2 linked regions of the Arabidopsis thaliana genome follow. The protein of the gene in region 1 interacts with the protein of each later gene in a pairwise test. Each region holds a gene or a part of one and is shown on either strand. Other genes may lie near its edges.

What was found. The genes of interacting proteins can lie anywhere in the genome.
Region 2: the proteins of PRPL35 (region 1) and NAP1;1 interact in a two-hybrid assay, tested with the Arabidopsis thaliana proteins (2 studies listed by BioGRID).

The regions. Positions count from the first base shown.
Region 1 is NC_003071.7:10,240,026-10,244,197, forward strand, and holds PRPL35 (Ribosomal protein L35), read left to right. Parts: upstream 1-1,849; 5' UTR 1,850-2,012; coding exon 2,013-2,255; intron 2,256-2,605; coding exon 2,606-2,722; intron 2,723-3,313; coding exon 3,314-3,391; 3' UTR 3,392-3,649; downstream 3,650-4,172.
Region 2 is NC_003075.7:13,230,741-13,236,437, reverse strand, and holds NAP1;1 (nucleosome assembly protein1;1), read right to left. Parts: upstream 3,871-5,697; 5' UTR 3,727-3,870; coding exon 3,681-3,726; intron 3,559-3,680; coding exon 3,515-3,558; intron 3,320-3,514; coding exon 3,224-3,319; intron 3,064-3,223; coding exon 2,971-3,063; intron 2,819-2,970; coding exon 2,728-2,818; intron 2,635-2,727; coding exon 2,573-2,634; intron 2,484-2,572; coding exon 2,299-2,483; intron 2,161-2,298; coding exon 1,983-2,160; intron 1,905-1,982; coding exon 1,861-1,904; intron 1,724-1,860; coding exon 1,534-1,723; intron 1,429-1,533; coding exon 1,411-1,428; coding exon of another isoform or gene 1,378-1,410; exon of another isoform or gene 1,008-1,377; coding exon 936-1,007; 3' UTR 530-935; downstream 1-529. UniProt on the Arabidopsis thaliana protein: May modulate chromatin structure by regulation of nucleosome assembly/disassembly. Contributes to the regulation of cell proliferation and cell expansion. May function in nucleotide excision repair (NER). Involved in somatic homologous recombination.

The DNA of each region.
Region 1 (4,172 bases):
TGCATCTATCTGTCCTATCGTATTTCATATCTCAAATTAGTTTTTTCTTGGATTTATAATTATTTTCAATATTTAACTATAAATCTATATTATTGGATTATTATTATTATTATTAGATTTTGTTTGTTATTGTTCAAGAACATGATGATCTGAGCACGAGTTTAGATATAGAAGCTCTTAGAAAAAAATAAGCTGAGCTGAGCTAACTTATGAAATATCCGAACTCATTATGAGCTGACTAATATATTGAAGCTAACTCACAGAAAAAGCTATCAAGAAATTTTAATATGAAAAAACTAAAAAAATAAATGAAAGTAATATTTTTTTCTGAACACAAAAATGAAAGTATTTACTATATATATACTCTTGACCAAAAAGAGAAATGATATTTTTACTCACGACATTACGTCGATTAGAGAAAGTGTGGCGTAAATCACGTGAGATCAAAATAGGAAACTCAGCAAGAAACCTATTATTCACTTATATTGATATGACCTGCAGTGAGGTTACTTATTTGATTTAAAAAAAAAACTGATTTATTTGGTGTGCATAATGTTTTTTGTTGTTCACTGCGGGCCGGTCGATGTTTTTTAACTAAGAAAATTAAATTTTAAGTTCTTGCTAAAACAATTTTGAATTTTATATTTTATTTATTTTGTTACAGTATTTAATATTATATAAATGTATTTTGAGTGGTAATTTTAGGATTTTACATGCGCTATACCATTCCAAATTAATATCGACCCAAACTTATCTCACAGTATAACCCCATTATGTGAAATTAAATATCACTTTATTATTTTTCATTCCAATTATACTTTTATTTAAAACACATATTCATGAGTCACCCATAGTATGTTTGCTTATATTGTGACCATAATATTCCTTTCGTTGTGATCCATGTTGCCAAAACAGACATCAATTAATGAAATTGTGTGTATTTCGTCCATGTTTACTCAAAAAAGGTCAATATCTTTAATGTGATCAGCAATGTGACTTACGAATTCCCCGAATTCCACCAAAACACCTGATTGCATCACTTTTTTAATGTTTCTGAAGCTTACAAATATCATGGGCAAAACTCCAGCAAAGCCATAAATGGTTGGAGAAGAAAATCTAGTTACATCTAAGGGATGGTCCGATAGGTACACAAATGCCTCTATCATAGAACTTATTTCATCTCTTTCACTACTTTTAAATAAACATCTAAGAACACCTTCTACGTCGAAAACCTACAATGTGGCTTAAATTATTGTACGTAGGCAATATATCTTCTGAATTTGCATTCTCCGACCAATCTATCATCTGCTGGAAATGAATAACAAGCTCCACTGAAATCTCATTGAAATTAGAAAATACTCTATCCACTTTCATCATTGAGCTGCCGCAACCTTGACTAAAAGCAAAGAAATCGTTTTCCAAATCTCGAGCTTACCATATATTCGATACATTCATGAGATAAAGCTTCATTGAAGCCAACATCCTTCAAGCCTAATCAATAAAGGCCACACAAGTTGTAGTTTTGTCCTCCATTGATAAAACAAATTTTATGATAATAGGAATAAGGTACAAAAATATATTTTTTGATGCAATACATGTTGCCAAAACGTATATCAACCAACGAAATCTTATGTACTTTGTCCATTAATCAGTATGATTCACAACTTCCTTAAATTCCACCAAAATTTCGGACTTTGGCCTATTCAAACCCATTAATGACTGTTTAAAAGCTTTGGCCTAAAGATTAATGTTAAGATGTTGTCATCTTTGGTTTCCATTGATTTAATCATTTCTTTCTTTATTATGCACACTTGGCCAAGTGTTATCATTTTGAGCAAAACCAACTATACCGGTTTTCTCCTAACCGGAATAAACCGAAGTAAACCGGATATCACATCATCCGTTCACTCTCTTTAGCTCTTAAGGCGAAAAAAGCTTATCTTCTTCATCATCTCTTTCCTCAATCGGAGTGAGCGCAAAAAATCAAAAATTCGCCGAGAGCACAAACCCTAATGGCTTCTCTCTCAATGGCTTCCGTTAACGTTAGCTTCTGTCATCCTTTACGCTCTTCTTCTCCAAAGGTCTCACTTCGCAGTTCCGTTCATTTCGCGACGAGTCTTTCCTCAAGTCACTCCATTTCTGGGCTTCGCGCTGTTTTGCCTCTGAAGATTTCTACAGTTGCTTCCCCCAATTCTCAAAAGCTTCATTCTTTTACCGTTTTCGCTCATAAGGGCTACAAGATGAAGACCCACAAGGTACTTTTCCCCTATCTCTCTCACTTTCTCTGCATTTCTGGTTTTTGGTTAAGTTGAGCTGAAATTGAAGTGAAGTACTATGATTTGGAGAGTATAGTGGCGGAAATTGGAATATCAATGCTTTGAAAGTTTGGATTTTTCTTCGGTTCACTGGCTATTCTTGTGTCTATTGGTGTCATAGTGATAGACTTAAGAGTATATCTGGTGAAGTTTGAGATTACTGACACTGAGAACTTCATATTAGCTTTAGAAGTTTTGAATTGTTTCAGTAAAGGTGTTTCCTTTTCTTGATTGGTGTTAAGTCTTTGTTGAATGGAATTATGAGAATGTGTAATGTATTTTGTTGATAGGCCTCAGCGAAGCGGTTCAGAGTGACGGGTAGAGGGAAGATTGTGAGGAGGAGATCTGGAAAGCAGCATTTGTTAGCTAAGAAGAACAACAAGAGGAAATTACGTCTATCGAAAATGGTTCGTTTTCTTTAATCTTGTTTGGTTCTGCATATCGTGATGGGTATATAGTTTTGTGTGTGTGAAATGCATTCGTATTTTCTGAGCTTTAGTGATTAGCTGTGAGTGGGTTTTGCTGAATGTTTCAGCATGTGGTATGAATCGTTAGGAAAAGAACATGCTCTTAGCAAACAAAAACTCATGTTATCAACCCAGTTATGACTTGTTTGCTAATGTCTTGGTAGTAAATATACGGTTTCGTTTGTCGAAAGACATATTTTTGAACTTCAAACCGTGTCTTTCATTGTGCATTTGCCTCTGTGCACCTCTCGCTGAATCTCTTAAATGGGGGATTAACGCTATTGGCAGAATTATACCCTTGATATGGAAACCATGCGATTGATATCTGCAGTGGCTTTCATTAGAAATGTGGCTAAGGGAGAAATCTATTATCATCAACTAGTATAAAAGAAAAACAAAACTAAATCTTGTGGCATCAATCTAATGATCACAAGTTCAAGTTATTACTTGTTTTGGCTTTGTTAATTAGCAACTTCGCTGCTCTGTTCTCTCTTACACGTTTAGCTTTGTGTTCTGTCTTCTGTATTGCAGACGGAAGTGAACCGGAGCGACTATGACAACGTGATCGGAGCTCTGCCCTACTTGAAAGTCAATCGAAAGGCGACTTAAGCAGAGCAGGCTTGATCCTTTTCTTACCTGCAATTCTCATTTTGTAATCTAAAGTTGTGGTAATATCCTTTTGTATTGTGATATAATTTGGTCAATGAGTTGATTTTTGTTTCATATTTGTGTCTTCTTTTTCTTGTCTCGCATGACAACTATTCTAGGTGTAACATATACCTCATCAACGAGTTTGGTCATTGATCAATGATTTGGGTTAAGAAATCAGAGACAGATATATCTTAAAAGACTTCAAAGTATTATAATCACACCAATCTCACTTATGACACTTTTCAAGTCTCACAACCCAATCCATTATTTTTTTGTTGTCAAAAGCATTAAGATAAAATGCGGCTGTGATAGTGACTCACTAGCTAATGCATTGACAATGGGAGTTCATTAGATAAAGAAAAAATACAGTACAGTGTAATGTTTACTATATTAAATGTTCGGTTCTCCGGCCAAATAGATGTAAATCTTTGAGTAATTAAAAAAAAAAAATGTTCACTAACTCTGGATTTAGTTATATGGGTTGTCAAACTTGTCATTGCAACAACATTCTTATAAATTATAGACTATAAAATATAAATCATGATCAATATTTTATTTTACTTACCTATATTAAATTAAAATATCCAAATTTAAAAAATTCTAAACATAAAATTGGAAAATTTAAATCAAAGTGACACCTAGTTGTAAAATTTTAATAGATTTATTTTTTAATGTCAAAAATGCAAACACAAAAAATATTATAATCATCTTTTTTTTTTACATATATTAAAGTAATAAA
Region 2 (5,697 bases), on another chromosome or scaffold:
TCGGCGGGAAACAAAACAGAGTCAAGAGTCTAATAACAGTGGAATTTCAAGAAACAACGACCGAATCGTTTCATTAGCAAATAAAAAAACGTATCATCAACAACGGTCTTTCTCAAGCACCTTTATTAGTAAATTTCTTGGAAACTAGATAGGTTTCTTAAAACGGAATATATTACGTCAAATACTCTGAATGGTAACGAAGCGGTCCCCTCTTCGCATGTCTCCAATTTACCAAACAGTGTTGCGACTTTTGAGTTTGTTTTTCATAACACCAAACACAAACAAGTGTCTCAAGTTTATTTAGCTAGCTTTTTTTTCCCCTCATTTAGCTCTAATGATGCATTAAACTTCTTAAGTAGTATGTGATTAGTCCAAATTGTGGATGTTCGGAACCTCACTTTCTTTGTGTTTTCCTTCTACAATAATTTAAATTATAATTAGTGTTGAACAAGCGGAGGCATTTAGTCAAATTACTCATCTTAAAGGTGAACTGATTTCGACCGATTTAGACTTGACTAATATAATATGGTCATAGTCCAATTATTCATCTTTTGTAGTCTTACACAACAAAATGGTTACCATTGAAAATCAAAGGACGGTGAACAAAAGAATAATGATCATTCCCACTACCCATTACTATCTAAATGGTTATTAAAATCTCTTTCGTCGACAAAGTTTAGGTAGGGGATGAAGTAGTGAATGCAGAGACTAGGGATGATGATGCTTGATTCATAAATTAAATACCAAGGTATATTATTAAAGTGCTTTAGAGAAAATAAACACACCAATAGAAAAACGAACGAAACTCCTACAAGATGAATTTCACTTTTAAAAATCCCAAAACCTTTTCTCAATCCTCATTCTTGATGAACAGAGAATGACCTGAATTATATTTTCACGCAATCCTTTTATGTCTGGTAGAGCGTAGTAAAAGATTACTGTTGCTTGCATTCGGGTGGCCTCTCATCTTGTTTACCTTCACCAACTATCTGAGATCTCCCTCCCTTCTGCAGTCCAAGAGGAAAAAAAAATTAAGCAGATGATTCTCACATTTATCACAAACATAGACACTGATTGCTAGTTTGCTACTATAGTAATAAAATGAATTCATGAGAATGGTTCTATCTCGTACTGCCCATGCCATGATTAAAGAGCTTGTTTAGTCTCTGCTGTGTCATTCATGTATCCTTCTCAGAGTCTTCTACGTAACTACCTATTTACTGATTCATACTTTTTAGGATTGCTCAGTTACTTTCAGCAATCTGTATGATTCATGGGCCTCTAGAGCCTACATTTCCGATATTAATTTCTATTTTCATCACAATGCTCAGCCTGAAACTTCTTGTGTTTGGTTATTTGAATGTTGGAGTTCCAAAATCAAATAAACTTTAGTTCTGAAAGGTTACATACCTTGTTGCCGATTGATGGCTGCAAAAAAAAATATTAAGCGATTTCAAAGGATTAGTAAAAAACTAACGTGGCATGAAGAAAAAAAAAAAAAAAAGAAACAACTATACTTGGGGCACTTTATACCTTCTTTTTGGTCTTGCTTTCTTCTTCATCCTCATCATCATCGTCCTCCTCATCCTCTTCGTCTTCCTCATCTTCATCCTCATCAATGTCATCTTCCTCATCGTCATCTATTTCAAAATCCTCTGCTTCCATAGCCTCACCAGTAAACCATGAGACAGCACGAGGAATAATCTTTTCCCGAATAGTAGATCTGCAGAAAGTAAAAAGTACTTGTGATCAGATAATAATGAAAGGGTAACCACCTTGATTGCAGTGATAAAGTAGTCCCATGACTCAAAAGCAAACCCATAAAATCAACAGAGAAAGTGTGTTTAGAAAAAGACGAACCCGATGTCATAATCTTGTTCCATCAGGTTTTGAAGATCCTCAGCCTGCATCAAAGAACGAGAAAGAGTTACTAAATACATTAACTAAATGATGACAGGTTTTTCTAACAATCGTTATCTTACTCTTTCCTCGTCGATATCTTCATCTTCATCCGGAACTTCTGGAGGACTAAAGAAGTTGAAGAAGCTTTCACAATCTTCGAGTTTGGTGATTGGTTTAGTATTCTTTGAACCTTTCTTAGGCTTCTTCTTGAGAATCTTCTGAGTTAGACACTTTCCAGGATACCAATCAATTTCTGTCCTGAAAATGAATGGTGAAAGAATAAGAATCCATTTGCAATATAAGCGAAGAAAAAAAATAAGCAGCTCAATGCAATCAGCTAATAAGCAGAATATACTTAAAAGTATACAACAATTGCAAGAGAGTATAAGTAGTTACCCCATAGCCTTCTCAAGCAGTGGCTCATCTTCATCAATCATATGATAAGACTTTGTCAAGACAGTGTTCTTAAAATACGGATTCGTGTCAAAGAAAAACTCAAGTTTGAATCCTTTAGGCTCTTCAATCTTGCACCACTTAATATCTTTAAGATATTTGAGAGCCCCTTCATCACGCTCTGTGACCTGACATAAATGACAATAAGTTATGCTCATATTCCATGGTTATGATTGGAGTGTTTATAAAACGAACACCAAAACTGCATATAGGCTACCTCCTCGGAAATAACATCGTTATTTTTCAGAGCTGTCAGCCAGAAACTTGGAACTCCTTTCTCTGCAATGAAAAACAGAGAAAAATGTTAAATTGTTTTTGTCTTTCCAAAAAGATTAACAACAAACAAAGAAGACATAGTGCTCATGAAGTTACCTTCTGCAGTTTTCTCCTCTCCTTGGTCCACCTTGGTATCATCCTCTGGAGCCAGTTCAACTTCAGTAGTGCCATTCACAATCTCATAACGCTGTGCCATTACAAGATACCAAGTAGAATTCATTAAGATGCACATAGAAAACTAACACTGCTGCAGATAAGTAAACATAAGCAAAAAGAGTATACACAGATCTACATTGAGTTTAGTAAAATGGTTTGTAAAACTTTCTCATTAACAATTACCTTGACATACAAAGGCTGATACAGCGTTTGATACTTGGCTTCAAGAATAGCTCTCTCCTCACGGAATTTTGCCTCTAGTTCATCATGTTGGCTCTGCGTGGAAAGAAGTCATCAGTAATCAAAACGCAACACCTTACTTTTGAAACTTTAAATTCAGATAAGCAGGGAGAAAACTCACACAAAACAAAACAAACCCCATTAAACGATATATAGCACACATAGTTTGGTAAAATGTGAAAGAAATTTCGCTAACCTGTATATCCCTCAAGGCATCAACGCGCTTTCTCACATTGGGAGTCAGATTCTCGAGCACATCAGAACGCTGACCAGCCAGATTCTGCAGCTTGTTCTGTGAATTAATAACAATGTATTAACAACTCATAAACTATCATTGTACTAGAAGAATGACATTGAAACCAAAACACTAAACACCAAGACACGGCTTATAGTATCTAAACAATCAGAGGAAAGTAACTCAACATCCTCCATATCTTTCAATAGCAAATGCTCACGGGACAGTTTACAGAAGGGGAAAAAAACTCACCTTTAGAGCATTGACAAGGCCAGCTCGATCCTCGTCCTTAAGAGCTGCAAAAAAACAGTAAACAAAAGGAACACCAGTCAGATAACAGAGGAAATTAGGGTTAAAGCAGCTCTGGCTTAAGAGGCGGAGAAAGAGATAAGAGTAATCGTGAGTAGGAGTATTTTACCAGCAGTAAGATCGGAGACGTTGAAGCTATCCTTGTCGTTGCTCATCTTCTGAGGATTTGGTGAAGAGAGAGATTTTGAAGAAGAAGAAGCAGAAGAGACTAGGGACAAGGGTTTTGGGGAGGCGACTCGTAACCCTTAAATCCTCTTTGTTTTTTTGTTTTTTTCTCTCCCTCCTTTTCACACCAAAATTATAACAAATGCCATTTTAGTTTTTTCTCTTTTTATATATACTTTTCTTTCTCTAAAAATTGATGTTTAATGTTTTAAAAAGCAAAATTAAGTTTATTGAATTAAATAACATGCAAAACTTTACATACATATATATATGGATAATGAGAACTGACTTATATATAGATAATTAAAGTTTATTTATGAATTCAATCAATTATAAATATATATAACTAATATATAAACTTTAATTATCTATATAATTAAAATTTTGCATGTAATTATATTAATTATCTATATACTTATATATATATATATACACTTATATATATTTGATTCTTCACCAAATACAGTACAGGTTAGTGAACTTTAATGGGATCAAATAGAAGATTTCTGAATCTGTTAGTACTAAGGCCCATCCCAAGAATGAGCCTTCCAAGCCCAATACACTGATTACTTCTTTTGTTCACATACACTGTACATACTAATTAAAAACAAAAAACAGTCCACAACAAAAACAAAAAAACAGTCCACAACAAAAAGTCATATCCCAAAAGGCACAAAGATCTTTAGTTTGGTTTAAGCTCATCCCGAGTTCAAACGAATTAAACGTACTCTAATCTAGATTAGCTCATCACGACATTTTCAATTTGAAGTTTCAACCTTTTATACGTCTGACCAGAAACACAATAAAGAAGCCTCACGCGTAGCATTTTTTTTTAACCAGAAAACCATGAGACAAATTCAACCTAATCAGATAACTGTAAATCATTTCATTCATCCTATTAAAAGCAAAGGTGAAAAGCTTTTTGTACCTCCACGACTCCCACTTAAGAGAAACATTTTGTAGAGCTTTCAAGTCACGCGTAGCAAACACACCTGGTAAGTGGTCAATCTTTTTATATCATATAGCCATCATAAGAGTATCATTAATAGTAGTTTCTTAGCATAATCTTAATAGTTCTTATGAATATTTTTATAATTGATTTTGAAAATTTTGAAGTTAAGAATTTAGTTAAGAGATTGAAATTTTGGCAATATGCAATGGTGGACTCTTAACTTGAGTTCTTAAAAAAAAAATTGGAAAAAAAGTAGAAACATTATAATTTTAAAAAACTTAATAATTATTACAACTCAAAAAATTTGAAACATACATAACATAAAATTTTAAACAAATATGACAAACAATTAGATTTAATACTTAATTTATCTAAGAATTAAGATTAATTGAATTAAAACATTATATTTAATACCTAATTTATCTAAGAATTAACCTAAGAAACATTAGATTTGGCTCTTATATAAGAGTCATTTTTAACAATTAATTGAATTATAACATTAAATTTAAGACCTACTTTATCTAAGAACTAACCTTATAAACTATGAATAATGATGGTCTAAGCGCGCTTGTTGTTGAAACTCTCAAATAAACCGGATAATTTTAAAACCAGGTTTAGTTTAGTTGGTAGATTCGGCTCAAATAGTAGTATTTTTGTGGATTTAAAGATGCTCAGCATGTATATACATATGTGTTCTATAGATGTTTTACACATTTTTTCTATTTTACTATTCTGCTTGCCATAATCATTAGATTGTTTGGTTGAACCGAAGCATAGAAACCAAACCGAACATAGCACACAGCAACAAAACCGGAATCATTCAGAGGTAAATAATTTTTTTACATTACCCGCAACTGCAAGGAAAGAGGAAAAAAAAAAAGACGCAAACTTTGAGAAAGACATCCTCATCGTTTTCTGTCCATCGAAGCTCTTTTTTTTTTTTTTTTTTTTTATCTTCGTATTCAATTCTTGAGAGGAGAGAGAGAGAGAGAAGCATCCCAGAAAACGA